2 linked regions of the Notamacropus eugenii genome follow. The protein of the gene in region 2 purifies or fractionates together with the protein of the main gene of each other region. This does not show direct contact. Links are inferred from orthologs where the notes say so. Each region holds a gene or a part of one and is shown on either strand. Other genes may lie near its edges. The genes, in order: KCNA5 and CAV1.

The links.
Region 1: the proteins of CAV1 (region 2) and KCNA5 purify together in Homo sapiens (affinity purification with western blotting, with the first as the bait; 3 studies listed by BioGRID). This does not show direct contact. The link is inferred for Notamacropus eugenii from reciprocal best matches to the Homo sapiens genes CAV1 and KCNA5.

What each region holds. Positions count from the first base shown.
Region 1 is NC_092874.1:192,646,006-192,662,680, forward strand, and holds KCNA5 (potassium voltage-gated channel subfamily A member 5), read left to right. Parts: upstream 1-8,336; 5' UTR 8,337-8,625; coding exon 8,626-10,455; 3' UTR 10,456-16,325; downstream 16,326-16,675. UniProt on the Homo sapiens protein: Voltage-gated potassium channel that mediates transmembrane potassium transport in excitable membranes. Forms tetrameric potassium-selective channels through which potassium ions pass in accordance with their electrochemical gradient.
Region 2 is NC_092874.1:136,581,542-136,597,986, forward strand, and holds the start of CAV1 (caveolin-1), read right to left. Parts: upstream 6,229-16,445; 5' UTR 5,960-6,228; coding exon 5,930-5,959; intron 5,276-5,929; exon of another isoform or gene 5,192-5,275; coding exon of another isoform or gene 5,168-5,191; intron 4,261-5,167; coding exon 4,096-4,260; intron 1-4,095. UniProt on the Homo sapiens protein: May act as a scaffolding protein within caveolar membranes. Forms a stable heterooligomeric complex with CAV2 that targets to lipid rafts and drives caveolae formation. Mediates the recruitment of CAVIN proteins (CAVIN1/2/3/4) to the caveolae.

The sequences.
Region 1 (16,675 bases), about 56 Mb from region 2:
ACCACAAAAAAACCAAATCTCCTGGGTACTATGTTTTAGTTTCAATTTGAAACTATCACTGTCTAAAAAGAGAATATGGGAGCGAAAATGCACAACTTCTCTTAAAATCAGCACCTGCCCCCTCAGGCTCACTCAATCCAGCTTAGCATTTCTAACCTAAAGGATGGCAACTATAAATATACTGAAGTCATTAATGAATACTTCTGAATTGGATCTGGGGAGGGAGAGAAAGGAAAAGCCCAGTTCCAGATGTGAGGCTTGATTTGTGAATGGCCTAAAACAGACCTTTAATCCAGGAAAATTAATCCTCCTGAACAGGAAATAAAAGGATCTGCCCTGAGGTCTCTCTGAAGAACCAGTTCTCTCATCCCCTTTTGATCCTCATCCTTTTCTTCTTTTTCTCTTCTTTCTTTTCCTTCTCTTCCTCCTCTCCTTCTTTCTCCTTTTCTTTTCTTTACCTTCTTCTCAGTCACACTTTTTTGCCTTTATCTTGCTGTTTCCTCTGTTTTCATCAAACCACAGTGAGAAAGAAAGATCATTTCCAGATTTTACTTCCTGAATAACGAATTAAGGGGAAAATTAGAAGGGAAGGGGAAATGAAGAAAAAAAGTTACTCTTTTAAAAACATTGAAATATTTTATGGAGTTTTTTATTGAATTTTTTTTGGACAGAAAACTAAGCTGGATACATCTGGGATGAGGGGCTTAGAAGAGAGAAAACTTCACCTTTTTTAGATAAGTAATGTAGTAATCATAGTTTTATGATTATAATAGTATATGATCTTAATGCTAATGCATTCTTAGATGATATATTTCTTGATAATCATAACTGAATTGGTAGGTGACTGGAAGTCCCAGGTTTTACAGGGCCTATTGATAAAGAGCCTTTATTTTTTTAAAGGAAATTTTTTTAAGTTAAATTTTGCATAGAATGCTTCCTCTCTGACTCTGTCTAACCCTGCCCTATGCTCCCATCTGAGCCCTCTCCATCTTTCCACTGCATGGTGGGGGAATATTGTGAAAGTACAATCTTTCTCAAACCTAGGATCACTGGAACACTCTGAGAATCATGGAGAGGTCAAAGAATTTTAGAACTGGAAGGTACCATGGAGGTCATCTAGTGCAATCCCCTGCCTTTTTTCTTCCCATAACTCAAATGAAGAAATTGAGACCCAAAGACCCAAAGTAACTTAAGTCACTTAAATAGTGGAATTGGGATCTGAATTGAAGGCAGTTTAATTCAACAAACATTTATTGAGTTCCACTGTTAGTTTCTGGGGATACAAATACAGCTATCCCTTCCATATTGTAGGGGTTAGGGGGTATGGTGCCCCCATGATCTGGAAAATCCATGTAAAATTTTTTGACTCTTTCTTCATACCAGAGAAGAAGTCCGAATTTTTTATTTTTCTTTTATGCAGGTTTACAGTACCTTATTGTAAAATTTGGGTTGATATTATACAATGTTATCCATATATTTTATGCATTTCTGAGTTTCTCATTTTTTTCTGTGTCATCTGCTGCCTTTGTGTATTGTCTGTGGCTTCTGCAAAACTTCTCTCAAATCCCCATTTAATTTCTTATGCCCAAGATATGCCAAAATAGTTATGGGGAAAATTGTGATGTGGAAGGGATAACTATACAAAAATCAAGCATATCTTTCAAGAAGCTTTTGTTATACAAGGCAAATACACATATGTTTATGCAGGCATTTATGTAGATAAACATTGTACATGTAACATATAACATGTTAACATATATTCTATTATAGAAATATATAATATATTGCATCATATTAACATATAATATATCATTATATTAATATATGCACATGTGTATATATGGACTAAGTACAAAGTAAGTTCTGGGGTGAATAACACTAGCAACTGGAAATATCAGGAAAGTCCTTCCGGATGAGGTTGCAAGTGAGCCATGCTTTGTAATGAACCAGGGATTCTATGAGGTAGAGGAAAAAAGGCAGACATTCCCAGACAGGAGAGACTGCTGAAATCTCTTAAGCTGAAATTCTATATCACCAACTGCTTCCTGGACACCTCTCCTTGGGTGACTTCTCCCTCCAAGATCATGCTGACCTAGGCAGCTTTGTGTTCCTCATGGAGCTGACACATTAGCAACACTGGAGAAGGTGGCAGGTTTGTCACCGTCAGGGTAAGTTAAGGCCTTGAATCACCACTCTGGCATTCCCATTGTCCACAACCACACTGTTTCAGGGCAGCTCTATGTTTCTCAATCTCTTGTGACTGTTTCCATTTTAGATATTTGATTATTCAGGTTAATGGATTAGTGGTGAGCTACAGGACAAGTTGAAGTACATGAAATAGAATAGACCAGGGATGGGGAACCTGTGGCCCCGAGGCCACATCAAGTATGGCCCTTTGATTGTATCCAAACTTCATAGAACAATTTCCCTTAATAAAAGGATTTATTCTGTAGAAATTGGATTCAGTCAAAAGACTGCACTCAAAGACCTAGAAGGCCTTATATGGTCTCAAGATTACAGGTTCTCCACCCCTGGATTAGATCTAAGGCTTGACAAGAAAGAAGAAATTAACCAGTTATGGAGGAATTGAACCTTGGGGACAAGATTTTAAGGAATAAGTAGCATAGCAGTGCAACGCTTGTGAAACTTTTCAATATAGCAGAGAAAGACACAGGCAGCAAGATGAAGAGAGTGAAAAATTGAACAAGACATCCACTTGCAAAGGCTTGTTGAAGCATCTTTCATTTGGGTGATCCTTCTCCAACCCCTTCATGGTCAATCTCTTCAGCTTAAGTGTTAGGAAAGTCAATTTTAGAGAAAAAGGAAAAGTGTTGAAGAGGGAAACTGATAAAGGTAGAGAAAAGACCCAACTATGATAACCTCTCAGGGTACGTCTGCATGAGTATCTTAGAAAGCAAGAGAATATAGAGCTCTGGAGAATATGTTGTTCATCCTTTGTTTTCAAAGAGGACCAATGATATCATGGTAGATGTCGTAACTTGCAGCTAAATTGGATTTAAGTGGGGCAGAGTGGTACAAAGTCATCAGCCTCACTCTCTCTTCTAGTCATCAAAGTCCATTGGTAAAACAAAAGTCGAGATGACTGGCAATGGTCCAGGATGCAGTGGAGGACCTTGGAGTCTTCAAAGTCTAAGGGCTCTGCAGTGCCTGCATCAGCCACCTTTAAATGTCTATTCTTCTTTTCCAATTTCCCATAATTTCAGTGTAGCAGGGCTGAATTTGAAAGCACATTCAATTCTACTCAATATGAGATCTGTGTCTTAAAGAAATGCCATTTGGTGAAATGTCACTAGAAGAAATTATATTTTACACACAGATATTTGCCAACTGTTAAAGTGGGGATAGAATGAAAATAAAAATTTAAAAAATCCAACATTGTTGTTCTCATCAACAAAATTATTCTCATCTGCCCATTCTACTAGGGAAAGTCTGCACGTACTTGTCATAGACACCCCCTAACTCACCAAAGGGTTTGAGTCCTGGTGGTTACCCTCAAACTAATTTAGCCCATCTGCTGAGATGGTTTACCAGGGTGTGCTGCTGCCCATGCTATAGCTTCTTGGAGTGACATGTGAGACTTGGGTGAAGGTGGACACAAAAGTGCATAAGCAGTTCTGAAAAGGAATCAGCAAGTCATCACACTAGCACCAGAGGTGTTAGCCCTCCTTGAACACCTCATACATCCTTCTAGAGAACAGAATAGGATAAAAGACTGATATAGAGGCATGATGATCCTAGGCTTTCTGAAAGGAAAAGATCATCAATAAAAGAAGCGTATTTATATCAAAAACATTATAAAAAATCAAAAGAGTAATTGATAAAAACAGATAACTGCTGACAAAGGAGAAATGAATATTTAAAGACAACAGCAATCTCTTCACATAACTCACGAGAAAGGAAATTGGCAAAATTCTCTCCCAAAAGGTGAAGATACTTCAATAAATTCTGTAAGCCCCCCTGAAATGACAACAGAATGATTCTAAGAACATCCAGCACGGTTCAGAAGGAAGGAAAGATAGAAACAGGCACTGGACTAGGCAGTGTGTTAAGAATTTTACATTATCTCATTTTGTCCTTACAACAAGTCTATTTTATCCTCATTTTACTGTTGAGAAAAATGAGGCAGGCAGAGGTTAAGTGACCTGCCCAGATTCACACAGCTAATAAGTGTCTAAGGCAGGATTTGAACTCATGTCATGAACTCAGGTGTCCACTCTATCTACTGTGCTATCTAGCCAGGAGCTTAAAGGAGAAATTAAATGAAAAGATTTTTTGAAGCCCAGAAATTAGAATTGTAAGAGAGGAAATCAGCAAAAGAAGAAAGTAGACAATTTAGAACAAAAAGGAACAAAAGACAGAGACACTCTCTGTAATAGAAGACAAGAAAACTGAAGTGAAAAAAGGCAGAAGCCCAAGGAAAAATAATGTGATCATTTTTTTCAAAGTAAGGTCAGAAACACACAGAAGAGTTCTACAAAGTAAGAATTTTATCTTGAACTTGAAGTTAAGATGTGAAGAAATAATCTAAGAATAATAAATCTTCAAAGGCATAATAATATGAAAAAAATCTGAAGATCTTCCTAGAAATCACACAGAAAAATTGCCCAGAAATGTTAATATATATACAAATATATATGTATATATAGCTACATATGTGTATATAACAATATGTATGTGTGCATATATACATATATCTATGCTTCTCTGTGTGTATGTATGTATCTATCTCTATGTATCTATGTATCTATGTATCTATCTGAACTGTCCATTCAAAATGTAAGGATACTGGATTTCAATTTGGATTTATGTAAGAAGAGTTTCTAAACTTCCATACTTTTTAACCCTATAATTCTACATCTGGATTTCTCCCTCCAAGGACTTCAGAAACAGATTCAAAAGCCCAATATATACCAAAATATTCACAGCACTTTTTGGGTGACAAAGAACTGGGGAAAAAAGTGGGCACATATTGACTATGGAATAGTACAGAATGGAATTTGTAATGGAATATTATTCTGTTATAATAAATGATGAATATGAGGAATTCAGGAAAATATGGAAAGATTTGTGTGAACTGATGCTGCATGAAATAAGCAAAAGATACAAATAGTGACTACAAAAATGCAAATGAAAGATCACTAAGGGCATCTCAAATGTTTAGCAACTGAAAAGGCAGTGACTCTCTGAGAGAGCCACTGATGACATGAGCTCCAGTCCCCAGGAAAGAGAGATATGGGGGTGGGGTGGGGACAGAATACTGGATACCTCATCAGAAGGAGTTACTATATTGGATTCTTTTGCTTAATTGTTTGCCCCCAAAGGGCAAAACTCATTGACCCAAAAGAGGATTAGATCTAGAGGTGGCAGAAGGAGGAATGTGATGTAAAGGGAAAGTCCAGCAATAAAACACACAAACACACATATATCTATATACCTCCATAGATACCTGTGTGAGCCACATGAGAGCTCTCTCTCCATCCTTTTTTGTCCTTGTTCAGTTGTTTCAGTCATGTCCAACTTTGGTGACCCCATTTGGGGTTTTCTTGGCAAAAGTACTGGAGTAGTTTACTATTTCCTTCTCAATTCATTTTACAGATGAAGAAACTGAGGCAAACAGGATTAAGTGAATTACCCAGGATCACACAGCTAGTAAGTATCTGAGGCCAGATTTGAATTCAGGAAGATAAGTCTTCCTGATTCCACGCTCAGGAATAAACAAACACACACGTGTATATATTTATATATGTATACATACATACATACATACATGTTTGCATGCATATGCATGTATATATAGATACATAATATACACACATACGTATGTATATGAACAACAATTTAAAAAACAACAACACCTTAACAAACCAATGAAGAGACTTTTTCCATCTTTCTTATACTTACAGGTCAGAAATTGTGTGCTGTCTAACCAAACTTCAACTCTAATGAGAATCCACATTCCCAATACATTTCTTCCCTAAAAGTAGCAATAGATGTACTTCCCTTAGACTCATTCAGGCAGCCCCAGGTAGGCAGAATCAAGGAAACTCTTTGAATAACTGCACAACTCTCCACTCTGAAGACCAAATCTCACCAGAATAGGAAAGAGGAGGAGAGGAGGAGAGATCCCAAGAAGGATTGAAAATTCCTGATAAAAGATGATTACTTCCTTTGAATATTTTACAGTTCAGAGTAGTTGGTACCAGGTTAATCTGCATTTGGAAATAGGGTTTCTTTATAAGTGGTGAGTAAGTGAACCTAGTTTCCATTTCTGATCAACAAGGAAAAATTGGTGAAGTATATGATAGAAACATTGTAGGGAAGAAAGCATTCCATATTAACATTTATGATAAAGAGAAGAAAGTCAAGAATACTCTGACATTAGCCTTAAATCTATGGAGAGTAGATATCAAAATGTTCAAAAAAAGAACAGATAGAATTTGGTGACATGTGTGGTGTTGGTCCTTTGTTGCCGTAGAAGACCATGTCATCAGTGAAGTAATGGCGTGACTTGTACTTGACTTTGTTTTGAGTGAAAGAGGACTGTGCAGATCACCAGCCTCACTTCTTCTCCAGAGACATCTGAATCCAGTGACCAGATATTCATCAGGATGACTGGAGATGACCCAGGATGAGGCAATTGGGGTTAAGTGACTTGCCCAAGGTCACATAGCTAGTGAGTGTCAAGTGTCTGAGGTGAGATTTGAACTCAGGTCCTCCTGACTCCTGCACTGGTGTTCTATCCACTGAATCACCTAGCTGCCCCTAGAATTTAGTGACCTAAGATTTTACTGGGAAGTAAGTAGGGAAGTAAGTCCAAGAGAAAGTCCTCGAAATGAAATTCTAAAGGTTTGCTCAAGGTAGTAAGGTATTTGGAATAAAGGTAGTAAGTAGAGCCTGGCAGTAGTGTGACACCCAGCTTACACTGAACAAATGGGGAGCTGCGGCTGGGAGTAGTTTGGCAGGGAGAGGCAGGATTATATATCTCATTCGTAAAACAAATAGGGAAACAGGTACAGAGTTTCCCTTACTCACCACTTATACAGAACCTTTATTTCCAAATGTAGTACTTTGAACTGTAAAATATTCAAAGGAAGTAACCAACTTTTATAAGGAATTTTCAATCCTTCTTGGGGTCTCTAGTCCTCTCCTCCTTTTTCCTATTCTGGTAAGATTTGGTCTTGAGAGTGGAGAGTTGTGTGGTTATTCAAAGAGTTTCCTTCCGTCTTGGGGAGGGAGGAAGGTGGGGGGGGGGTATAAATCTAAGTTTTATGGTGGTGGTTGTAGAACATTAAAAAAAAATAAATAAAATAATAATAATAAAAAAAGAGTTTCCTTGATTCTGCCTACCTGGGGCTGCCTGAATGAGTCTAAGGGAAGTACATCTATTGCTGCTTTTAGGGAAGAAATGTATTGGGAATGTGGATTCTCATTTGAGTTGAAGCCTGGTTAGACAGTACATAATTTCTGACCTGTAAGTGTAAGAAAGATGGAAAAGGTCTCTTTGCTGGTTTGTTAAGGTGTTGTTTTTTAAATTGTTGATCATTTGAATCATTTTAACCCTAGTTGAGGACTCTGTCAACCCCACCCCTGCTGAAAGATAAAGAAAAGGAGAGAAGAGGGACAGAGACAGAGACAAATAAAGGGACATAGACACAAGAGAGATAGAGAGAGACAGAAACACAGGGACACACAAGGGAGAGGGAGAGGGAAAGAGAGGGAGAGAGAGAGAGAGAGAGAGAGAGAGAGAGAGAGAGAGAGAGAGAGAGAGAGAGAGAGAGAGAGAGAGAGAGAGACAGAGAGAGAGACAGAGATAGACAGATAGACAGACAGAGACAGAGAGAGACAGAGAAACAGAGAGAGAGACAGAGAGAGAGGTGAGAGAGGGAGAGAGAGAGGGAGAGGGAGAGAGAATGAGAATCATTTTCATCTCTTCCATAGTGGAACGACCCAATATTCTCACCTTCTCACTCCCCCGCCTAAGTCCATCCAGCGTATTGCAGAATCCCAGGTGAGCAGAATCACACAAAGCTCTTCTCATCTTCTTGCCCAGGGGAGTCTTGTCTCTCTCCCGTACACAACTTGTGCTCCTCCTCTGCACCTCTCCCTGCTCTCTCCCTGCTCTCCCAAACCATTAACTCCAGCTGTGCCTCTGCACAGGGTGACGCCCCCAGTGTTTTGGGAGAGGAGGGAAGGGAGTAGGTGGGGGTGATGTTATGCCGCTTGTCTGGCAGGACTAGCTAGAGCTATAGGGAGTGAGAGTCGCGAAGCGGGGAAGGGGAGGAAGAGAATGAAAGAGGTGGAGGGAACTACAGGGGGTGGTGGCTGAGTGCCTTGCTGATGGAGAGCGCAGTGTAAGATTGCATCTGCTTGCAAAGAAGCTTTTATGCTGCTTGGTAACCGACTAGCTTGCAGAGAGAAAAGAGCCAGGGCAGCTTCTTGACGTCAGGACTAACTGGGAGTCGCTCCGGCAACCCCAGCAGGGAGCATTCGCAGAGATTCGGGCGACCAGGCAGGAGGTTAACAGAGGGCTTGGGGAGGGCACAGGGAGAGAGTGTGACGGAGGAGCCAAGAGGCGGGGGCGCAGCATGCCTCTGGCCCTGGCCCATGGAGATTGCCTTGGTCACCCTGAAGAACGGAGGCACCACGGCCATCGGGAAAGGAGAGCAGGCTGGGGGAGGCAGCGGCCCCAACCTGGAGGAAGAGCTCTTGAGTCCCGCGACTGGGCAGCTCAACGACGGAGCCAAGGAGGGGAAGCCGAGGAGGTCTGGCCGTGGTCGTGGGGGGAGAGGCGACGGCCTAGGTGGACGTCCCTTACCTGAACTTCCTCGGGCAGTGAGACAGCAACCTCCTGGACAGGGGGAAGAAGAAGAAGAGACAAGCTCCACCTTGGGCATGTCGGAGGGTGAAGGATTAGGGTCATCTGCCCTCCATCATCAACGTGTCCTCATCAACGTCTCGGGCCTGCGTTTCGAGACTCAGCTAGGCACCCTGGCTCAGTTCCCGGACACTCTCTTGGGGGACCCTGCCAAGCGTCTGCACTACTTTGACCCCCTGCGCAATGAGTATTTCTTCGATCGCAACCGACCCAGCTTTGACGGCATCCTCTACTACTACCAGTCGGGGGGCAGGTTGCGGAGGCCAGTCAATGTTTCTTTGGACGTGTTTGCTGACGAGATCCGCTTCTACCAACTAGGGGACGAAGCTATGGAAAGGTTCAGGGAGGATGAGGGCTTCATCAAAGAGGAGGAGAAGCCACTGCCCCGGAATGAGTTCCAGAGGCAGGTCTGGCTCATCTTTGAGTACCCGGAAAGTTCTGGCTCAGCCCGAGGCATCGCCATTGTCTCCGTCTTGGTCATCCTCATCTCCATCATCACCTTCTGTCTTGAGACCTTGCCTGAGTTCCGGGATGAACGGGAAGTGCTTCACCATCCGCCGCTACCCCAACAGCCTCCAGCTCACCCCCAGAGCGCTAACGCCAGCCGAGGTGGTGGTCAGGAGCTGCATCTTCTGCCTCAGGGGCCCACAGTGGCCCCTATGATGCCCAGGACCCTGGCAGACCCATTCTTCATTGTGGAGACCACGTGTGTAGTGTGGTTCACCTTTGAGCTTCTGGTACGCTTCTTTGCTTGCCCCAGTAAAGCGGAATTCTCCCGCAACATCATGAACATCATCGATGTGGTTGCAATTTTTCCTTACTTCATCACTCTGGGCACTGAGCTTGCAGAGCAACAGCCAGGGGGAGTAGGAGGAGGCAGCAGTTCGAATGGACAGCAGGCCATGTCCTTGGCCATCCTGCGGGTCATCCGCTTGGTCAGGGTCTTCCGTATCTTCAAACTCTCCCGCCATTCTAAGGGCCTCCAAATCCTGGGCAAGACCCTACAGGCCTCCATGCGGGAGCTGGGGCTCCTCATCTTCTTCCTTTTCATTGGAGTCATCCTCTTCTCCAGCGCTGTCTACTTTGCAGAGGCTGACAACCAGGACACCCACTTCTCCAGCATCCCAGATGCCTTCTGGTGGGCAGTGGTCACCATGACTACAGTGGGCTATGGGGACATGAGACCAGTGACGGTAGGGGGCAAAATTGTAGGATCTTTGTGTGCCATTGCAGGTGTCCTCACCATAGCTCTGCCAGTGCCTGTCATTGTCTCCAACTTCAATTATTTCTATCATCGGGAGACAGACAATGAAGAAAGGGCAGTCCTCAAGGAAGAACCAGTCAGCCCCACAGGCCAGGGCTCAATACAGGACAGTGTGAATCAGCTGAAGTCTAGTGGGAGCAAAGGGTCCTTTACTAAAATCCCAGAAAACATGGAAGGGGCTCACAGAGAAAGCTGCCCCACGGAAAAATGCAATCTTAAAGTCAAAAGCAATGTAGACATAAGGAAATCCCTCTATGCCCTTTGTCTGGACACAAGCCAGGAGACAGATCTGTAGAAGACATCAAGACAGCCAGGCGGAGATTTAAGAGTGAGAAACAGAACGAGGGATCTTGATAGTGGAAATCTGTTTTGTACCACTGAGTATTATACAAAGACTGTTCTCCAACCTGATTTTCTCCCTCATTCCTTCTCCCTCTCTTTCCCCCTTCTTTTTTCCATGACACCAAAGGGTCACTTATTTTTAAAAAGTACCACATTCCATGACGCAGGAAACTGTTGAAATGGTGAGTGCAGTAAGATGTATGTATTTGCAGTCCTGGTCACTTTTAGCCATTAGTGGGAAAATGCAGACAAGAACCTTTGGAAAAAACAACCAATAAGAAAAAGCTAGGGATTTTGTAAACTGCAGATATGTTTGTTGCAAGTTTGAGTATATTTATTTGAATATAGGGGGAAAAGCTATTTTTTGTGTGACAGGTGAAAGGAACTTTTATACTATAATTCAGATATTTCTGGCATTTTCTCTTTCTATATAAATATGTTGTGCTTATGGATGGAAAAAGTTTCTGTTGCTTTTCTGGGAACCACTATTTCACCAGCACCTTCCTTATACAGACACTTGTTTCTCAGCATAAGCCAGTCCTAATTCTCATGTCCACAGGCTTGTGTATCTCTGGATATGATGTGAACTCAATGCTTTAGCTCTAGAAAAGGAACACTTTCTGCAAAGAAAGGCAAGTCTGCGTTTTTTGGTGAGCCTTAAATAATTAGTGTGATTTTCTTTTTGCACATTTTAATGAGGTTGGAGGAAGATTTCTTAGAATTCCTTCCTTTGATTTTTATCCTCAGAAATAAAACATTACCTTATTGAGGGGAGTGTTTGTTTTTCCACAGTTGATCATTTTTTTTGTGTGTGATTAAAAAATAATCTCTTTGTCTTCTCGGTTTTGAATTCATAGCAAAGACCTTGCAAGGATAGTTTTGAAAGATAATCTGTGAGGTACAATATTCTTTGATTTGCTCAGAATGTGTTCAGTAAAGATATCACTTTAACAAGCTTTTTGCCAAGAACCTGTGCTTCTTGGACTCAGCATCTACCAGGCAATGTGGATCAAGTGAAAAAAGAAACAGGAGAACGGACCCATCCCCACCCCCCTAATCTCCTGGACGTTCTGAAGTTTCTCTTTCCCTCAGGGTTTAACTCTGCTTAACATAGCACTGAACAGCTCTGAGAACCAAGACTGAGTCTTCTCAGACAATGAAGTCTGGTCTACAGGACCTTTATCATACCATGGAGTCACTAAGAGATCTGTGTTTGATGGAGTCATGGAGAGCCCCCCATGGTATGGGGGATAGCTGTGCTATGCTTTTACCACATACAGTGGCTACAGGGAATGTAGAGGATCTGCTCATTCACATTAAATGTTGATTTCTGCAGCTTGTTGCTTTGCCTTTAGAGATTTTAATCCCTCAGTTTGGAATCTCTTTGTTTCTTTCTGGCAGGGAGGTGGTGGCTAAATACCAAAGTAAGTATACATGTACAGAAATTTCTCTCTGGTGTTAGCTGTCTGCCCTGGAGTTCTGGATTAATGATATTGCTTTTCCCTCAGTTAAATAATCCACAGAATGACTTTTTAAATCCTCCCTAGGGGTCAGAGGATGATCCTTAACCCTCCCGCTCTCTTTTCTCCATAACAATGGCTAAGCTAATACCTGGTTTTATACAGTGCAGTGTCTAACAGTGTGGTATATCGTGGAGGGAGAGCAAACTTCAAAGCTAGCTTTTTAGGATTTAGGACTTACCTCTTATACATAGAGATGGAGTGACCCTGGGGAAATGATTTCATCTCTCAGTGCTCTGGGCAACTTTCTAGGACTATATGTTGCAGAGAAAATGTCAATCTTACCTGCCTTGGTAAAGGGATTTCTTCACCTGGAACTTCATTATACCACTGAAATTACAGATCCTGCCCCTATACTTCTATTCAAGTCTTCACATAGCTGTTTAAGCTTAAATGAATTTTGGAAATTTGCATTTAAACGAGACAGCTACACAAATAAATATATAAAAGGTGTGGTTATGATAATGCAGACAGATGTGGGCTTTTTTTTTTTTCAGTCAGAAAGTGTTAACATACAAATTGAGGAGTAGAAAACCCAATGTAAGCAGAACTCAGCACATTCATTTGCAAGTTAAAAGAAAGGAAAAGCAGCAGTGCCAAAACCCAATACCAAATTATATTCAAGTCCACTCAAGTCCCTTAGCTTCCATTTTTATACAGTTTGGCAATTCTGGAATGGATTGTATGAAACTGAGAGTGCAATTAGATTCTTTTCAGTTATCTTTTCCTTTTCCCAGAAACTCCAAAGGGAAAATAGTCACAGTTAATTTTATTTAAAAAACAAAACTATCTATCTGTCTGTCTATCCATCTATCTGTATGTCTGTCTTTGACTATTCATTTGCTCATTTATTTATTTGACTATCCATTTATTTATCATTCATTCATTTATTTGTCTATTCACCTATTTATTTGTTTGGCTTTTGTTTCTTTGTTTTTATTGAGACTGGGTATCCCTCTGTTACCTAGGCTTGAAATGCAGCAGCTGCTCACTTCTATCGAAATGCTGATCACAGAAGATTAGTTTTTTCTGACCTGAGCTGTTTTTTTCCTTCCTTAGACAGTCTGATCACCTTCCACTCCCTAGGGCTCATCATTTTGGTGTCAAACACCCAATCGGCATTGACATCTAATCAGCATTAGCTCTACTGTAGCTCAAAACTCTAGAACTCAAGCAAAATACCAGTATCAGTCTTCCCTAGTAGCAGAGATTGCAGGGGAGCACCATCACTACCAATGATCACTGTTGATTTTAACATTTGTTCCTTAAGAAATAGGTGGTCAAATGGAATAGAGAGATTAGCATATAGGCCTTTACTGGTCTGATTATGAGGAATCATAATCTTGTTTGGCATATATTTGGCCAATAATGGCAGGCTACATCTCTGAAAACTTTAAATTAAATGTGATTTAAATGTGATTTCATTCATAATAATCACATTTTGAGGATGGAGGAAAAAAGGCAAAGGATATATATTTCATGTAGGATGTGTGGGATTTGGTGGTAAAGGTGATAGTGATCTGGGGGGACCAAAGATCTATAACCAGAAGAACTACACTGAGGTAACAAGGTAGATCAGCAATGAGAATCTAACCAGAAGTCTTAAGTTGCAGCCATATGACTGACTCTTTTATCCAATGTCTCCGGGAGGCCAGTGACAACCCTGGAGAACACTAGTGACCAAAGGGTTTATCTCCCTTTGGCTAATGGGACAGGGTTCTTAGTTTGCTAGGAGGAACTATGATTACCTTGGAAGCTAGCAGCAGGTACTCTGCAAACAGGGTTGAAGAACTAGTTTCCTTGAGATTTCTTGTACTCTATGAAAGCAAATTTAAAAGGTACCATATTGATTTTTAAAATTCCCCATTGGTCAATCAAGTCTACCTGGTCATTAATTTTAATGTCTGAAGAATTCCCTTTATCTGTCTTTGGGATATGAGATAATAAATATTCATTGAATACATGCTGTCAAATCTATGATGAACTCACTGTGTGTGGGGGGTGGGGAGGAGCACATAATCACTGTCTTTTAGGAAATTACAATTTCACTGGGGCTTGTAATTTAATATGTGTTAAAGACCTTTCCATTTGTGGTATTCAGGGTATAGCAAAGCATTTCCCTTGGTGTGAGGGACAGAAGACTAAAGTAATAACACAGCAATTATACTTTGCCAGACAGGAAACTGATAATGGCTTTGTCGATAACTGAGGGAGAACTGAGAGATTGTTTGTTGACTTTCCTTGCCCACTTCCTTTATCAGTCTATCAATAGAAATTTAGTAAATACCTACGATGGACCCAACCCTGTGTCAGATGTTGTGAGGGATACAAAGAAGATGGCATGGTTCCTGAAATCAATGGGAAATAAAAGATGTGTGAAATGGCAGGAAACAAGTCAGTATATAATGGTTGAGTTGTATGATTCTAGATACAAGAGTGGAAAGCATTTGCAGAACAGGAAAATCTTTAAGGGTTCCAATAACAACAGCTAACATTTCTCTGATGCTTACCATGTATCAGACACGTAATTATTGGGTCATTTCAGTTGTGTTTGTGACCCCATTTGGGGTTTTCTTAGGAAAGATACTAGAGTGGTGTTCAAATCATGAATACGTGAGTTCAAATCCAGCTCCAAACACCAACTAGTTATATGACCCTGGGCAAGTCACTTAGTCTCTGTTTACCTCGGTTTCCTCAGCTGTAAAATGAGGGTGGTAATAGTACTTATTTCCCAGGACTATTGTGAGGACCAAATGAGATAATAATTATAAAGTGTTTAGGTGATACAATGGATACAGTGCAAGGTCTGGAATCAGGAGGACCTGAGTTTAAATCTGGCCTCAGACACTTACTAGCTATGAGACCTGGGCAAGTCACTTAACCCTGTTTACTTAGTTTCTTATCTATAAAATGAGCTAGAGATGGAAATTATGAAACACTCTAGTATCTTTGCAAAGAAAACTCCAAATAGGGTCATGAGGAGTCAGACAAGACTGAAATGATTCAACAATGTTCCTAATTCCAGGCCTGGTACTCTATCCGTTGTGACACTAGAATATCAGAGCTAGGATAGTAACTTTGGAATTTGACCGAAGTGGCCCAAAACTTGGCCTTATAGCAAAAAGTGAGAGACTTGGAACTTGAATCTGGATCTCCTGGGTCCTACCTCCATTCATGTTCTTTATCCATACCACACTGCCTTCTTAAATGCTTAATTACATCCACCATTTGGATGTTTTGGGGTTTTTCAACTGGTTGATCATCATTCATTCAACAATCATTTAATATTGTGCAAGTGCTGGGGGAAAAGACAATGTAATTAAGACATGGCCTTGCTTTCAATGACGCTCACTATATAGCAGAAGTGGTAGGAAACAAACACTGCAGTGCTTTACAGGGATCATAAGAGGCATTTTGGAATAGCAGAATAGTTGTCCTCCCAGTTGAGAAAATTCACCTCTGATATGAGTTCTGTGACCCTGGGCAACTTGTCTATTTTCTTAGTACCCCAAGTGACTTTTTGAGTTGCAAAATATGTTCTGAGTTGCATCAGTAAAGGGGATTTTCTTAGTGGGTATTGTGTATTTCATGAAATCAAGAGGCTGGTCAAAACAGCAAGAGAACAATAATAGCTTGTTTTTAAATAGTACTTGAAGGTTTTCAGAGTGCTGTACACATGTTGTCTCATTTGAACCTTGCAATAACTGTAGGAGTTAGGTGTTATTATTATCCTCATTTTAAAAACTGGCCTTCTTCAAAAATGAAGGACGAACACACACATTTTAAAAATAAGGAAACTGAGGCTGAAAGAGGTTAGGTGACTTGCCCAAGGTCAGACAGCTAGCTAGTGTTTAATGTGGGATTTAAACTGAGGTCTCTCCTGACTATAAGTTCAACACTCTTAGCCACTGCACTGCCTCAGAAGAAGTAACTAGGGTACCAAATAGAATGGAATGAGGACTTAGCCCAGGTCCAACATCCTCTGCAAAATCAGAGGCAGAAAAGATTGATGTCTCAGTTATCAGGGAGAGCTTCATGGAGAGGTGGCATTTGAGTTAAGACATGAAAGTGGTTAGGATTTCAAAAGACATAGGTAAGAATTCAAAGAAAAACGTTTTTCAGTTTTTTGTAGCCAAATACTTTAGTCATAGTAGTGGAAGCTGACAGACATCAGCAATCATCTTGTCTCCTTTTATTTCCATAAGGAAGCTCAGGCCCAGAGAAATGAAATAATTCAACTTAGGACTCATAGATAATAAGCATCAGAGCCAAAATGGAACCCAGGACTTTGGCTCCCGTTCTGGAGTGCTGTTCTCTCTGCCATGATACTTCTAGGAAAATGCTAATTTTAAAAATACTCTCTGAGTATTCTCTGAGTCTCTGAGTCAGGAAGGCTAGGGTTCAAGATCTGCCTCTGACCAATGCTGGCTGTGTGACCCTGAGCCAGCCTCTAAAACCTCTCAGAGAGTTCCAAGTCACTCTCGAAGAAGGGAAGGCTAAAAACAAGCATGTGGATAGAGGGGAGTTCCTCACCAGGAGTTCTCTGTTTTATTGAAATCACAGATCTGAAAAAAGAAAAAGAAAATTCAGTAATATAAATTCCTTTTAGGGTCATTAGTACAGACTTGATATTTAGTGAGGAAGAGAGAGGAA
Region 2 (16,445 bases):
AGAAATTGGGAAATAGACACATATTCAACGGAATGCATTGAAGCAAAAAATTAATAGGTGAATAAATCCTGGCCTATGCTTACCCATACTTCTAGTTTGGAGATGAGCACTTCTACACACTCCACTGTTATTCCAGATAGCAAACTTGAAACATACTTTACCACATACACAATTAACTCACAAAGATGGTTTTAAAAAATCTGTGGAAAAACCCACAGCCTAACGGATCTCTCTCTGAATCTTGATCTTCAGTGATGGGTTGGACCTCTAACATCTCTGTGGTACAGCTGTGGAATGATCTCACTTTTCAATTACTGGCATGAGTACGGCTGCTTTTCTGCCTACTGAAGGATGAATGTCCTTACACAGAGTTACCATGAGCTATAGTGAAGGGTTCACTTCACAGGCATTCCAGGATAGACAACCCATGGTCATTCCTTGTGCTAAGGTGGAGGGAGGGAAAGATAAAGTGGTTTCTTGGTCAACAACTACAGTTTCTATCTTTTAAAGTCATTAGGTTTCTTGTATAAGGCTCTATTATAATTGGCCATGGATAATTTCATCCATTTTCATCAAAGCAAAACCCATGGTGTTGGTAAAAACTTTTCTTTGGTTTACAATGCTTGAATTCACAGAAAACAGACTAGATTACAAACTTAACAATGTTGAGAAACACATGCCTTGGCACTTGGGTGTGATTGGAATGCCTCACTTTTGATTAATTTTTCAATATATTTCTGAAGTTCAATGTTCACATTAAAGTGAAAATATGTATCCTTCTTTCTTTGCATGCCAGCTCCTACCTTAGATAGTGAGTGTCTGGAGATGATGGTTTTGTTTGTCTCTTCAGTGTTTAGCCCAATGCAGGCTACTGAAGGATGAATATCCTTACACAGAGTGCCTGCAGGCACTTTAATGTTTACTGACTATCTCTGGAGATAGTCCACTGTATTTGATTATAAGGACAACTAGTTCTTCAATTCTAGGCAAGCTTTTATAAATTGATGGCTTACAAGAATACTCAAATAATACCAATTGGTAGAGTGGATAGAGTGCTGGATTTGAAGGCAGAAAGACCTAGATTTCAAATCCTGTCTCTGACACTTATTAGTGCTATGTTCCAGGGTGTATTGATTAACCACTATGTGCCTTAAGCAACTCCCCAGGACTTACTATATAATCCCACATAAGAGTTGTTGTTTAGGTAATCAAGAAGAGGAAGGCTTCCCACCACCATAAAATCACAGATCCCTTCCATTTTCTAGTACATATGAAAAATCAGAGGTTAATTTGGGTAATCTAATGAAAAGAGATCCCTGGTACCCAGAATATCACAGAGCCTTTCCATATTTGAGTGCAAATAAAACATTTGAACCAGTTGTGTGAAGGCTAGAAAAATGTCATCTGCCAAAATTTCACGTTGATTTACATCCCTTTTAATTAGCAGAAGCTTGACACAGCAGGTTTTACTTTTTTGGATAATGCTGTCTGAAATTTTATGATTATAATATCTGATGAGCAAACATAATTGCTCATTTATTGAAGGAAGTCAAGAACCCAGTTTCTATGATATTGAGTGCTTATGCTCATACAGCCAGGTAACTAGGCCCTTGAACTTAGGAATAGATTAGAAAACTAATTTCTTTTTTAAAATATTCTGATTTTTCTTGTGATTTCTATGTAGCTTAGCTTGGGCATTGAAAGTATACTAAGTATATATTCAGTAACTGTGTAACTTTTTTACATTTTATATCAGAGCTGTTTCCTTCGTTTCTCATCAGCCAGAATTATTTTTAAAATGTGATATGAGAATCTTCTGAATGTAGAGTTGCTTCCCTCTGCCCTGTTAAGTCCTTTACCTTTCACAATAGATTTATTTGATCTGTTTCCATTCCACCTGTTTCCATTTTTAATATGAGGCTGGCTAGCGTAATGATAACATGAACTTCTCAGGTGTTCTAAAGTTGGGAGATGGGTTGCCTATTCTGATGTAAGAAAAACTCAAGTTCTAGGGTCAAGGTAACAGGAAAAAGATTATTCCAGCCTTCATAATCACATTTAAATTCTTGGCCCCAAAAATTCTTAAAAGAGTCACTCTTTCTTGACTCTAAGACCCTATCACTGGAGGCTTGATTCAGAGATGCCAAAGAAGGAATTTGTGCTGTAGGTAATCAGGTGATCTTAAAGTTTTCTATCTTGGATACTCTGAAAAAAAGGTCCTGGATCAACTTTGACCAGTTGTTGCTTAGGCAGTATTTAAATTTAAATTTCTAGATGCACACATTTAAGTTTCTATTTACCTCCCTGAAGTCATAAAGATCAGACAAATGATTATGATAGTGAATTCTTTACTGTGTTTTGCTCAGTCCTACCAGCAAGTAAGCGGGACACAAGATTCTGAGGCTGGCAGGGCCACACATTAACACCTGCTTTTAATTTATTTGGTCTGAGGATTCCTAATAATTGCCCTTTGGAGTCCTGTTTTGTAAACTTCAATTTCCTCTAAGACCGTTATGTTTTTTTTCCATCTATGTTAAGTCTCTTTTCCCAGTGGGATCTTTCTCTATTTAGTCATGCAGTGTGTGGAGACCCAAATTCCATACAGCCTGGGAGCTCTGACTCATCCTCAGAAAGTTTGGTTGCTCCAGGGACTCCTACTAACAGTGCAAATGAGCAGAAAAAAATAACCAGTGAAGCACCTCCTTCCTGAATTCTACAGTGCTAGTGCTCTACCTAGCAACTGACCTTCTTATCAAAAGCCAAATAAGGGAGAAAAACTTAATAAAGTTTATCTTTATCCTCCTCTTTAAAATAATTTGAGATAAGTGGGTTTACGTTCTCTTCAATTTATTCAGAATTTAGCAGTTTTAATTTTCAGATTATTGCAAATTGCTTTTTTTTTTAATATTCCATACTCTGCTCTACCAGCAAAATCTTTAAAAGCTTCCAGTTACTACTTCCCTTTTGCCCTCATGCCAAGGGAATTAAGTTCAATATGCTCATTTTCCTCACATGTACAGAATAAAATGTTCCCCTTTTAAAATATGCTATTCATAAACACAAAGAGTTACAGAAATCTCACTCCTCCCAACTCCGATCCTCATGTAACAAGTCCTGGATGACTTGAAATGGTTTTATTTTAATCAGGTTTGCAGTCACAGGATTTTGCAGGGCAGTGGCTTTAGATTCTACTATCTTGAGCCAAGAGGTCTCCTTGGCCTTCTTGGTCCCAGAAAAGTAAGCCCTTTGCCAAGTAACAGTAATATGCACAATTACTCAATCCAAATGGGTCCTAACGATGCAGTCTTCTGACCACATTTGCTTAAAATGTGGTTAAAGTTTGCAATAATAGTAATAAACAATGCCGACTGTTGATAAAAGTTTTGACAGCTCACTGGTTTTTAACTAATGTTCTGCATGTATATGCGGAAGGATTCATTTTGGTCCATGAGATTCAGGAGCAGATTTATGTAAGAAATCATAAATGAAAGTACCGATTACAAAGTAGCTGGTTCCCCAGTGCGATGGACTCCAGGCTGTTGAGATTTTTGCACACTTACTGTGTGATTAAAAACTTAGAGCTTGGCATTTCACTGGAACACTCACTCCTTCCTGGTTCACAGCATTTTCACCCATTCTAGTATTTTCAAGAAAAACATTTATTTTAATTCAGGATCCTGTCAACTTTGTGTTTGTATTCCACATGCCTATAGGTATTTACAGTAGCGTCCTAAGAGTACCAATGTTCAAGTAGTTCTTCAAGGCATCAGAGTGGATGCAGACAGCCTTGCCTTAGCTAGAAGCAGCCTGCCTATGCAGTTCTCTGTAGTTAGGATGCCTGGCTACAAGTAGACTTCAGTGGAAGTTAAGGGGTTAGGGTTAGGCTGAAATCACCTGGCAAAGAGAAGGGGAAAATTCATTTTCTGCCTTTTCCATGAGCTTTCAGCGGATTACTCCTATCAGTCCCAGAGGTGGCAATATAATATAATTGATACCTGGGCTCCCAGTGCCCTCATCCATCAGTGCGACCCTGAGGGGGTCCTGCCTGAAGGACCTGTTCAGGTCACTTTCCCTCCAGCCCAGCCCAGCCCTTACCTTGACCACATCGTCATTGAGATGCTTGGGGTCTCGGTTGACCAGGTCGATCTCCTTGGTGTGCGCATCGTACATTTGCTTCTCGTTCATTTCGTCGGTCATGGTCTTATTGTTGGGTTTGTAGATGTTTCCCTGCTCCCGGATGGGCGCCGAATAGAGAAGCCCCTAGGGAGGAGGGGTGGGGGTGGTGGTGATGGTAGGGACGGGGAGGGGGGGGGGGGGGGTTGGAAATAAAAAAAAAAAGCAGAACAAGCGGACAAAAGTCAACCGGAGGTTGGGAAAGCTCTCAAGCTTAAGGAAGAGAGAAGGGTGATTCTTATTCTTTGGAAAGGCGGCGGCTGCAGCTGCGGCAAGTACTGCGACTTGCTCAGAGCAAAGTCAACTTCACGGGGAGACTGGCTTTTTAAAAGGATAGAAAAGACGACACCACACCCCTCGGTACCAGGCGGAGAAGCCCGACTCCCGCTCCTGCCGCCAGGGGTCATCTGCAAACGCAGCCCAAACGTCCGGCTCCCAAATCTCTCCTACTGCCCCCCCCTTTTACTCCCTCGCCTTCCCTGTATTCAGCGCCCCGTGTTTGGCCCAGAGAGCTCCGGCAGCCTTGGGCTCAACCCTGGTCCTGGCCCCACTTTAGGGCGCCTCACCTTACCGGGATTTCCTTACCTGCTTCGGTCGCCTCCCCCCAGTCTCTGACACCTGTAGCTTCCTCCCCTAACCCTGGATTTCTCCGATAGAGCGATGGGTCACTCACTGCTCATCGTCCCAAACCCCAGCCCCCATTAAACCGTGCACCTGCGGCCCCTCCTCTAGCATCCCACCTTAGCGCTCTCTGGACTGCTCTCAGGTAGCCCTAAAGCTTAGAGATATCTATTGCGGCCCACCCCCTCTCACCCCATTCACCCCAAGAGGTTACTCCCACCCTCACCTCCTAGAATTCACAGAATCTCAAGATCGAGCCCACCTCCCCACATCTCACCCGTCTCCCCTAAATTCCAATCGCATCTCCCCCGATTTAGCAGCAGCGTACCCCCTCCCCCTTCCGCTAACTCTGATAGGCGCCGCGGCCACTGACTTGGGGGAAAAAATTGTTCTGCATAAATGTGGGTCTGGGTTCTGGGGGGAGGATGAGCTGGGAGAAATCTCCCCTTTGCAAACTCCATTCCTAAGGAGTTTTTAGAGAGGGATCAAGGACTTGGGGGAGAGCAAACAGAGCGCGCGCCAACGCCCCAGTTAAGCTTTTCCAGACGCCAGGGTCTGGGTTCGGGTAGTGCTTGCCCAGAACTGCTGGATGAGGAAGCTACAGCCCCCGCAGCCCCTCCCGTCCCCCCGCGTTCCCAGACACTCCAGCCTCCCGCCCCAGCGCTATCAGCCGGGCAGCTGGTAAAAGGCGGGGGGGTGTAAGAGAGAAAACAAATAACGAAAAACCTCCAAGGAGGTGGATCTCTGTTCTGGCAGACGTAAAGTCGGGGAGCCCCCAAGGTTATCCCGTCCACCTCTTCCACCCCCCCCCCCTCCAGCAATTTGCTCGGTGATTTCCCTAAGAAAGCCAACCACAAACGGAGCAGATAGCCAGTTTGGGCGCTGCCCTCCCCCCAGCCCCGATTCCTCCCCGAAACTCCCCGGACCGACGCCCGCTCCTTAGCAGTGACTGTCGGAGGTCAAGAGGGAGAGCGGTAAAGAAAGGCAGTGGGAGCGCTCCCAGCAGCGGTTGGAGATGGCCGCGGCCGGCGGGCGCTCCCAGGGAGGGACATACGGCCGCAGGGCACCTCGTGCCCGGGGTGGGGGTGGGGGTTTGGGGCTTTGAGAAACTCCCCGAAGACGAAGCAAATCCTACCTCGGAGTCTATGTATTTGCCACTAGACATTCTGCCTTGGGTTTGACGGAGGGAGGTTCTGGTGGAGATTTCCCTGGGTTATAATTTAAGGGAGCTGAGGAAGGAAGATCCTGTATTATGGGAAGGGAAAAAAAAAGGAAAGAAAAAACATCTCGGTGGGGGTTGGGGGTGGGGTAGGTTAGGGAGGGGAGGTAGCTGCGAGTGAGAGAGCTGGCGGCGGGCCAGGGGTTTGTTCGGCTTGCTTTTGGCCAGGATGACAGCGGTGCTGGGTCTAGGCACATCCCCAATGACTCCGGGAGCAGCCGGGAGGGCCCGAGGAGGGAGGGGGGAGTAGGAGCGAGCGAGCTTTTTATCCATGTTTTACCGAGGCATTTATTTTAAACCTGGGGCAACATTTTCCCAGCCGTGTAGCCACCAAGGCGATCCAAGAGAGCCTGCTTGAAAAACAAGAATATTTTCCTGGTGCATCACACCAGCAGGAGGGTGTGAAGTGGAACAAGTTTAGTGAGGGATTCCCAAGAGGGAAGGGCACCTCCGGCAGAGGCAGAAGGCTTTAAGCGTGTCCTTGACCACTTCTGAGGGGCGAAATGCAAGGTCCTACCCCCACCCCACCCCTTTATCTCTCCTCCCCCAGGAAAAAGCGTTGTTCAGCAGCTTGGAAGGGGAAAGGTGATGAAAAAGGGGTGGAAAATTTTAGTTACATCTCCTAAACTGAAGCAAAAAGTCGGGGTGTTAGAGTGTGTATGCTTTCGGTGACCCTCGTTTACATATGTTTAGCCTCGTCTGGAAACTTGGTACCTTTGTACCACTTTGTAGAGCGAACCTATATATGTCCCCCCTGGCTCATTTCAAAGTGATGCAAATGTTGAACTGTTCTTTACTTTTATTGCTGATTTTCTCTAAATGAAGGGGAAAACACGCCACAGGTTATGCTATGTTTGTACGATATATTACAGTATTAGTCGTAACTAAAATAATATTAAAATAAAACCTGCGACTTTATTGCTGGGCTAGAGTTTGGATGGAGGGATGGTTACGATTTAGGATAGGGACTGGACTCGTGATTTTACTAGTTTAGGGAATTTTCTGTTGAGAAAAGCAGCCCCACACCTTTTTATGGTCTAAGACAGAGACCTAGGGCATTTAGAGGGTAAATGGCTTGCCCAGGAGTCATACAACCAGGAAGAGTCAGAGACTGTTCACTACTTATCAAATAAAATACATTTCCCTTCTATCATCTATCTATGTATCTATCTATGTATCTATCTATGTATCTATCTATCTATCTATCTATCTATCTATCTATCTGTCATCTATCTAATCTATCATCTCCCTAATTTATTAAGAGAAGGATACTTTACTGTTTTATAAGAAATGAAATAATGATGTCATCCAAATTGGGCTATTTTTTTCTTAAGACCTTTAGGACCCTTAAGCAATAAATAGAACTCAGCTGCAAAAACTAGAAAGAAATGCGTGCTTACATATTTAAACCCAGTTTAGCGAAAGTAAGAGTGATATATTTAACTGAAAGAAAAAATTCCATTGGATACTACCTAGAGAAAGGTACATGCAATTCAGTTCAGTGCAATATTATAAAATGACTACATGTCCTAAGTGCATAGAATGCTGAATTTGAAGTCAAAAGACCTGAATTCAAATCATGCTGCTAATACTGTGTGACTCGGGGCAAGTTATTTAACCTTTTATTGACTAAGACAACTTTTCCAGTTTTTAGATGGGTTGTCCTGGTGATTGAACTTCACTGATGAAACCACGTCATTGAGAGTGTGTGCTCAGCATCCAAGTTAGGTGCTATGGGAAGTTATAAAAGAAATAGCACTTATAGAATATAGAATATATAATCCATATACTGCCCTCTGGTAGATTATCATCTATTTGGAAAGAAGAGGATACTACTATACATGTAATAATCAGGGAATAATACAAGATGATATGGAATGCAAATAGCAAACCCCATGATAAAGTAATGTAAGAGAAGGGAACTGGACAAAGGGAATTCCTTCCATCACTAATCCCCAACACCCAGCACAGAGTGAATGTAATTACTAAATAGTAATTGTTTCTCTTTTACCCAGGAACCCTGAAGGTCTTCCCCTCCCAGTTTGATTTTTTTTTTTTATTAAAGGGGCCATCCCTTGAGTAACTACTTAAAGAAGCCTATTCATTGAATGGGTGTATCTCACTCAAAGTGAGAATGTGATAAGATCTTAGCCTGAAAGGACCAGGGTCTCACTTTGCTTGCTTGGCGTCCTCCAGTCATCCTGATGAATATCAGGCCACTGGACCCAGATGGTTCAGGAGAAGAAAGTGAAGTTGGTGACCTTGTACAGCCCTCCCTCATTCAAATCAAAGTCAACTGCAAGTCATGTCCTCATCTTGATGTCATGGTCCTCTTTGAGAACTAAGGACAAACACAACAACAACAAAAACAACTACATCAGGAAAATAAGAGGTCAGAGGGGTCTAGGATATTAGGAAAGGTTTCATGGAGAATGTTATTAGGAGGAGGTGTTACTTGAGTGAGGCTGCATAATCTCTTAAATGATTCTGATTTCTCTAAATCCTAGGCTTTATTAATTTTACCCTTGTACCTTGTATCTTTTCCTGCATGGCCAAATTGTCTATTTCTCACAAACGTGTATAAGCTGCTGTAAAAGAATCATATCTAGTTCATGTAAATGTGTCACATAATATTTAGCATAAACAACATAAATGTGTAATGTTATCTATTTATTATAGTATTTCCTAAATTAATATCAGTACTAATAGCAGAACTAATAGTTCCTTCGAACACATTTTTTTGTAAAATAATGTTCAATGGAAAAAATGTTGAAACCATTTTCCATCTATTGTTCCCCAAACTTCAGCTGTGATGAGTAATCTTGGTTATAAAAAGTCAACAGGAACATGAAATGAGCCTGTTCCTGCATTCCAACAGAGGAACTCTGCTTTCTGGGAGGGCCTCTTAGTGAATGTTTAAGTAATACAAAATTGAAGAATAATAATCTGACTGGGGAAGCCCATGCAAAACAGTCATAAATAGCCAAGCCATGAAATCATGATAATGATCAGTGAAGCACTGTCAATGCCAAGTGAATTACAAATGAGCAGAAAAAAAATATTGAACTCTGATTAGCATGCCCCAACAAGAAGAAGTTGAAGGTGTGTATAAATTGCAGAAGACAAACCCTACTTTCCTTATAATCAAAAACTTTGCTAAATAATTCCACCCTTTTAAGGGAAAAGAGGCTGTGATAAAGAATGCTTATGACTGGAGAGCATGACCGTGTTTGATGAATTATTAAAGTTACAGAGCTGGAATGATTCTTCTTTCTTGAAAACCCACAAGGATAACTTTAGGTATCTTTTGATTACTGAATAATGAATAGATGGCAGCTGATTTGTAAAGGAGATCCAACTTTGTTTTCAATAAGCAGTAGCACCATAGATCATAGATCACAGGATTTTAGAGTTGAAAGGTACTTCCCACATCATCTATTCCTACCCACTCATATAGATGAGGAAACTGAGGCCCTGAGGTTAATATTTCATTCTCTGTGAATGCAAATGGGCACTTTCTTTTCAATTTATGATCTTAGAGAATTGTCTGAAGCTCCAAGAGGGACACAAGGTCACAATCAATGTCAGGGACAGAATTTGAACTGAGATTTTTCTGACTTTGAGGTCACTGTGCCATGTTGCCACTATTACAATTTTTTAAAAATGTACATCAATAAATGACTATAAAAGAGGTGAACAATTTTGAGTACATATGCTAAATGTAGTTATGGAGATTATTTTTAAGTAATGGAGCCTGCCTGATTTAGGTGAAGTTGTTTGGTAGTTCTAATCTTTGGTATCCCACCAAGCCTTTTATCCACCCAAACTTTCTCTTCCATATCTTACCCTACATATTCAGCATTACTTTCTTGTCCTAAGTTGGGATCAAGTAAAATTTGCCAAAATGTTATCCGAAAATGAAACTGTTAGTTGAGAGCTTAAAGCATGACTACTCCCAGAAATATTTGCATTTTAAAGGAGATAATAAATTGGGGGAGGGTTTCAGGGAAGTCTGACTTGGGCCTACTATACTACTTCACTGATCAAAAGTCAGAGGCTCAGAAAGTATTTCCCTGAGGAATCCCCTATTTACAGGGCTACTTAGCACCATGGAGGCTTCTTTATCACAGGATTGGCTCCCATTGTCTACATCCTCAGTTCACAAAGGAGAAGTGCCAACCCCTATCTTCCTCTCCCCGGCTTGCTTCACACATTCTCAGCCAATTCTCTAAGGGAGTAGATACAAAATTGGAAATAAAAGCTTTGGCACACCAGCTCTGAAAGTTTGTTGGATTACAAAATAATAATGCATTTACATAATGATTTAAGGTCTTCAAAACACTTTCTTCACAACAGTAGACACTGACAGTAGCATTAACCTCATTTGAAAGCTGAAGAACCTGTGGCTCTGAGGAGTGAGATGATTTAGGAAAGGGAAATTGGCATAGGGGGACGGAGTATTGGCTTTGTCATTAGAAAAACTTGGGTTCAAATCCTCTGATACAAGATTTATGAGCATGATGGAGTCATTTAAACTCCGTGAGCCTCGGATGTATATCCAGTAAAATAAGGGGGTAGGAATAGATAGCCTCTTAAAGATCTTCTGGCCCTAAGCCTATGATGATGTCCAGGATTGTATGAGTTACCCACAGTTCAATACCTAGTGAATGAACATTTGAAATGGCATCCAGACCCCAGGTACTGAGTACAGGTTTAGCCTTCCCCTCACTCTGCTGTGCTGACTCTTTGAAGACAGGTAAAATCCATTTCTGGGATAAATTCCAGGACTACATCAGAATTAAACTATCCTCTGAACTTCTTAAAGGGAAGACCACTCAAAATAGCTGTGTAGGAAATGGAACAGGCCCAAACAAATAGGCTTGATGAGGGGAGGTGTTCATAATAATCAAGATCCAGAATTCTCAAAGTGAATAGACTAGTTGGAGTTGTCAGACTGGCTCCTCATGTCTCTTTTATCTTCAAGAAATCAACTTTAGCTAATATGTTCTCGTTAAAAATTCAGCTTTCTGAAGTTTCTCACCTATTTCTAGTGTTTCCAGTTTTCTTAACTAGTTCCTTCCACCTTTCTCACTCTGGTTTCTCTTCCAAGCACTTCCTGAAAATTCTTACTAATCTCTGCCTTTGAGCTTTTTCTTCAGAGGTTCTTGTGGCGTATTCCAGGGTCGTACTAAGCTCTTTATCCTTTTCCATCAATTTGTTCTTTCTTCTTACTTTACCTGTATGAAACTGACTCATATATGATAAGTTTTCCAAACATCCTTCCAGACTGTTCTACTAGAATATCTGCTTGGCCCTTTTACCTTCACCTCAATCTCAGAACAACAAAGATTAAACTGATCACCTGCTACCTGAAATCCTGCTGTTATACACTTCTGATTCCCTAGGACAAGAAACCATAATCCCTCCAGCAGGCAATTCCAGAATCATCTCTTACAATTCATTTAACTACCTTTTTTATTGTCAAACTGCAGTCAAGTCCTCCCAAGTCTTCTCCCATTAGCATCATTAAAATCTCTCTCTCCCTTTCTCAGACCTAAGTCCTGCTTTTAAAATTCTGAACTTCCATCAGCATTTTCTCCTCAACGACTTCCTTGCCTTCAGTCTTTTATTCTTCTAATCATTCCAAAATGCCATCAGTGGAATGATCTTTCTGACTTGTATATTGGTAAGTATTACTTTCTTTAAAAATTTCCAGTGGTTCTTTACTTCTTAGTGATCCAAACAATGTTTATTAGCTGGGGAGATGAAGAGAGAAGGAAAGTAAATAATAATTTTTCTGGTCCTCAGTTTCCTTATCTGTATTTTTTTTTTTGGAATTGACAACTTTTACAATACTTTCTTGTTTTAAATCCTGTGATATGATTCAATCCATGACTATATGATCAAGGTATGTATGTCTAATTATTTTGTTTTCTTTAAGTCGGTAGAGGACAGGATTGGACTGCCGGTTCTCAGGAAAGATGTGTTTTTGGAATAATTATTCAAAGCATGTCATAACAGCTATCCAAAAAGCAAAAGCAAAATCGGTAAAACAATAAGCCATTTAAGTTAACAACTCAGGACTACTAACCTACTTGACTGACTTTCTTTTCTTTATTGAATTTATATGATTTAAAACAAAAACAGAATTGATGGCCAGTTTTAGTTCTATATAGAAAAAAGCAATCTATACATAACAGTGCTTAGCAAGGTGCCTGACACATAATAGGCACTTAATAGATGTTTATTGATTGACTGATTGATCGATAAAGTAGAAAGCATTATTGGGTATTAGTGACTCTAAGATATTAGAGCTTTTCAATATTCCAAATTTTAATCCAGCTAATACACTACAGTTTACTTCCATCTTTACTCCATTTATAGTCATTTATTCTTAGTGAACTTTTTCTCAACTCATTTAAAAAGAATTCGTCTAGTAAATAGGCAGGTTGGTAAAAAAGCAAAACTAAACTTTAAATGTGAAACATAGAGAAAACCTTCTCTATGTGAAAGGCCATTCCATAAGACCTTAAGACTATAGAGTCTTAGAATTCAAAGATTCTTGAAAGGTCATTCCCTTGCCTTAATGCAAGTCTGATTTAAATTATTTAAGATAGATAAGAACCTAATATGTTTCTAAAAGCTTTCAAGAGAAGAGTCACCATCTTCTCTCAGAAACAACCTTAGCCATCCAGAACTCTCAAGGTATAAGTTAATTTGCACAGACTGGTAAGGGTTAATTCTTTTAAGTGTTATAACTTTAATTTTAAATGACTTTTGATGTAATTCTCTTTAAAACCAGACTGAATATGGTGTGACACATGGCTGAATATGATATACACATACCTTCTTAGCTAGAACGAGCACTGTATTTGGGGTCAAGAAATCTGGGGGGGGGTGGAGCCAAGATGGTGGAGTAGAAAGACGCAAATACACATAGCTCTGAACCCACAACCCATACAACATCGGTATAAAGTAACTCATGGCGAATTCTGGAGCAGTGAGGCCACAGAACAGTGGAGCGAAGGAGATTTCTGTCCCAGAGGGACCTGCAAACCTCTCGCAAAAGGTCCCTCGCGCAGCAGACACGGAGCCTAGCCCAGCCCAGACCTGCTGCGGCCGTGGCACCAAGAGGAACAGACCCGAGCAGGCTTCAGGGACAGGCTCTCCAGCGGCCGCACAAGTCCCTCCACCCACAGGTGACGGGGGTGGGTGAGAGAGTCTCTTTGGCGGGTCGAGAGGGGAGTGGGGTGCCCCCATGGCTCGGGCCCCCTCGGGAGGCAGAAGCTGAGGGGTGGTGGCAGACCAGGGCTCCCTGGGCGGGCAGGAGCCTGGATCCATTGTTGAAGGTCTGTGCATAAACCCCCTGAGGGAACTGAGCCTGAGAGGCTGCCCTGCCCTGACCTGAGCACCTGAACTTAATCTCACACTGAATAGCAGCCCTGCCCCCACCAAAAGCCCTGAGGCTGGAAGCAGCATTTGAATCTCAGACCCCAAACGCTGGCTGGGAGAATCAGGAGGCGAGGTGGGTGTGAGGAGAATATTCACAGGTCAAGTCACTGGCTGGGGAGAATGCCCAGAGAAGGGAAAAGAAATAAGACTATAGAAGGTTACTTTCTAGGTGAACAGGCATTTCCTCCCTGCCTTTCTGATGAGGAAGAACAATGCTTACCATCAGGCAAAGACACAGAAGGCAAGGCTTCTGTGTCCCAGCCCACCCAATGGGCTCAGGCCATAGAAGAGCTCAAAAAGAATTTTGAAAATCAACTTAGAGAGGTAGAGGAAAAGCTGGGAAGAGAAATGAGATACATGAAGTCAAAGCATGAACAGCAGGTCAGCTCCCTGCTAAAGGAGACCCAAAAAAATGCTGAAGAAAATAACACCTTGAAAAGTAGGCTAACTCAATTGGCAAAAGAGGTTCAAGAAGCCAATGAGGAGAAGAATGCTTTCAAAAGCAGAATTAGCCAGATGGAAAAGGAGATTCAAAAGCTCACTGAAGAAAATAGTTCTTTCAAAATTAGAATGGCACAGATGGAGGCTAATGACTTTATGAGAAAGCAAGATATCACAATACAAAACCAAAAGAATGGAAAAATGGAAGATAATATGAAATATCTCATTGGAAAAACAACTGACCTGGAAAATAGATTCAGGAGAGACAATTTAAAAATTATGGGCCTACCTGAAAGCCATGATCAAAAAAAGAGCCTAGATATCATCTTTCATGAAATTATCAAGGAAAACTGCCCTGAGATTCTAGAACCAGAGGGCAAAATAAGTATTCAAGGAATCCACAGATCACCACCTGAAAGAGATCCAAAAAGAGAAACTCCTAGGAACATTGTGGCCAAATTCCAGAGTTCCCAGGTCAAGGAGAAAATATTGCAAGCAGCTAGAAAGAAACAATTCAAGTATTGTGGAAATACAATCAGGATAACACAAGATCTAGCAGCCTCTGCATTAAGGGATTGAAGGGCATGGAATAGGATATTCCAGAAGTCAAAGGAACTAGGACTAAAACCAAGAATCACCTACCCAGCAAAACTGAGTATAATACTTCAGGGGAAAAATTGGTCTTTCAATGAAATAGAGGATTTTCAAGCATTCTTGATGAAAAGACCAGAGCTGAAAAGAAAATTTGACTTTCAAACACAAGAATGAAGAGAACCATGAAAAGGTGAACAGCAAAGAGAAGTCATAAGGGACTTACTAAAGTTGAACTGTTTACATTCCTACATGGAAAGACAATATTTGTAACTCTTGAAACTTTTCAGTATCTGGGTACTGGGTGGGATTACACACATACACACGCACACGCACACTCACATGCACATGCACACGCACACACACATAGAGACAGAATACACAGAGTGAATTAAAGAGGATGGGATCATATCTTAAAAAAATGAAATCAAGCAGTGAGAGAGAAATATATTGGGAGGAGAAAGGGAGAAATGGAATGGGGCAAATTATCTCTCATAAAAGAGACAAGAAAAAGACTTATTAGTGGAGGGATAAAGAGGGGAGGTGAGAGAAAAACATGAAGTTTACTCTCATCACATTCCACTAAAGGAAGGAATAAAATGCACACTCATTTTGGTATGAAAACCTATCTTACAATAGAGGAAAGTGGGGGATAAGGGGATAAGCAGGGTGGGGGGATGATGGAAGGGAGGGCATGGGGAGGAGGGAGCAATTTGAGGTTGACACTCATGGGGAGGGACAGGATCAAAAGAGAATAGAAGTGATGGGGGACAGGATAGGATGGAGGGAAATATAGTTAGTCTTATACAACACAACTATTATGGAAGTCATTTGCAAAACTACACAGATTTGGCCTATATTGAATTGCTTGCCTTCCAAAGGGAAGGGGTGGGGAGGGAGGGAGGTAAAGAAGTTGGAACTCAAAGTGTTAGGATCAACTGTGGAGTAATGCTCTTGCCACTAGGAAACAAGAAATATAGGTAAAGGGGTATAGAAAGCTATCTGGCCCTACAGGACAAAAGAGAAGACGGAGACAAGGGCAGAGAGGGATGATAGAAGAGAGAGCAGATTGGTCATAGGGACAATTAGAATGCTTGGTGTTTGAGGGAGGAGGGGATAAAAGGGGAGAAAATTTGTAACCCAAAATTTTGTGAAAATGAATGTTAAAAGTGAAATAAATAAATTTAATATTAAAAAAAATTTAAAAAAATAAATAAAAAAAATAAGAAATCTGGGTTCTAGTTCTAAATGTTACATTTACTAGCTATGTGAACTTGGACTAGCTCAGGGGTGGAGAACCTGTGGTTTTGAGACCATGTATGGCCTTCTAAGTCCTTGGTGTGGCTTTTTGACGGAGTCTGAGTTTTATGGAACAAATCTTTTTATTAAGGGAATTTATTCTGTAAAGTCTGGATTCAGTCACAGGTCTACACTTGAGCTAGTGCCACATGTGGCTTTGAGGCGGCTCACTCTTGGGCTAGCTACTTAGCCATTTGAGGTCTCAATTTTCTTGGGTTTCGAAGTGACATTTTACCAAAGGTATAAAAAGTTAATAGAATCAATTTGAGTGTGTGTGTGTAGGAACCTCTAAATTATGTGTACAAATATAAATCAGATTTTCCTCTGAAAGCTATAAGTACACATATGATAACCATGAAAGTTCTAGGACTATGAAATATTCCAACTAAGACATTTTTTTTGGAAAACCTCTACAGAAGATTTCAATCAACCACTCAACCAGCATTCAGTAAGTGCCAAATGGCAACCTGTCATAACAGCTCAGAATCTGATTCACTGGTATCTCTAGACTCATGTCAATCACTAGTTCCATCACTGTTGTAATACTGTTCATGGATAGACTGTGTCCAATCTGAAAAAGACAAAAGTAATTACCTGATATCATCAGTTGTGGACTCTTTTTCTCCATTTATGTCTAGTCGTCTAATTC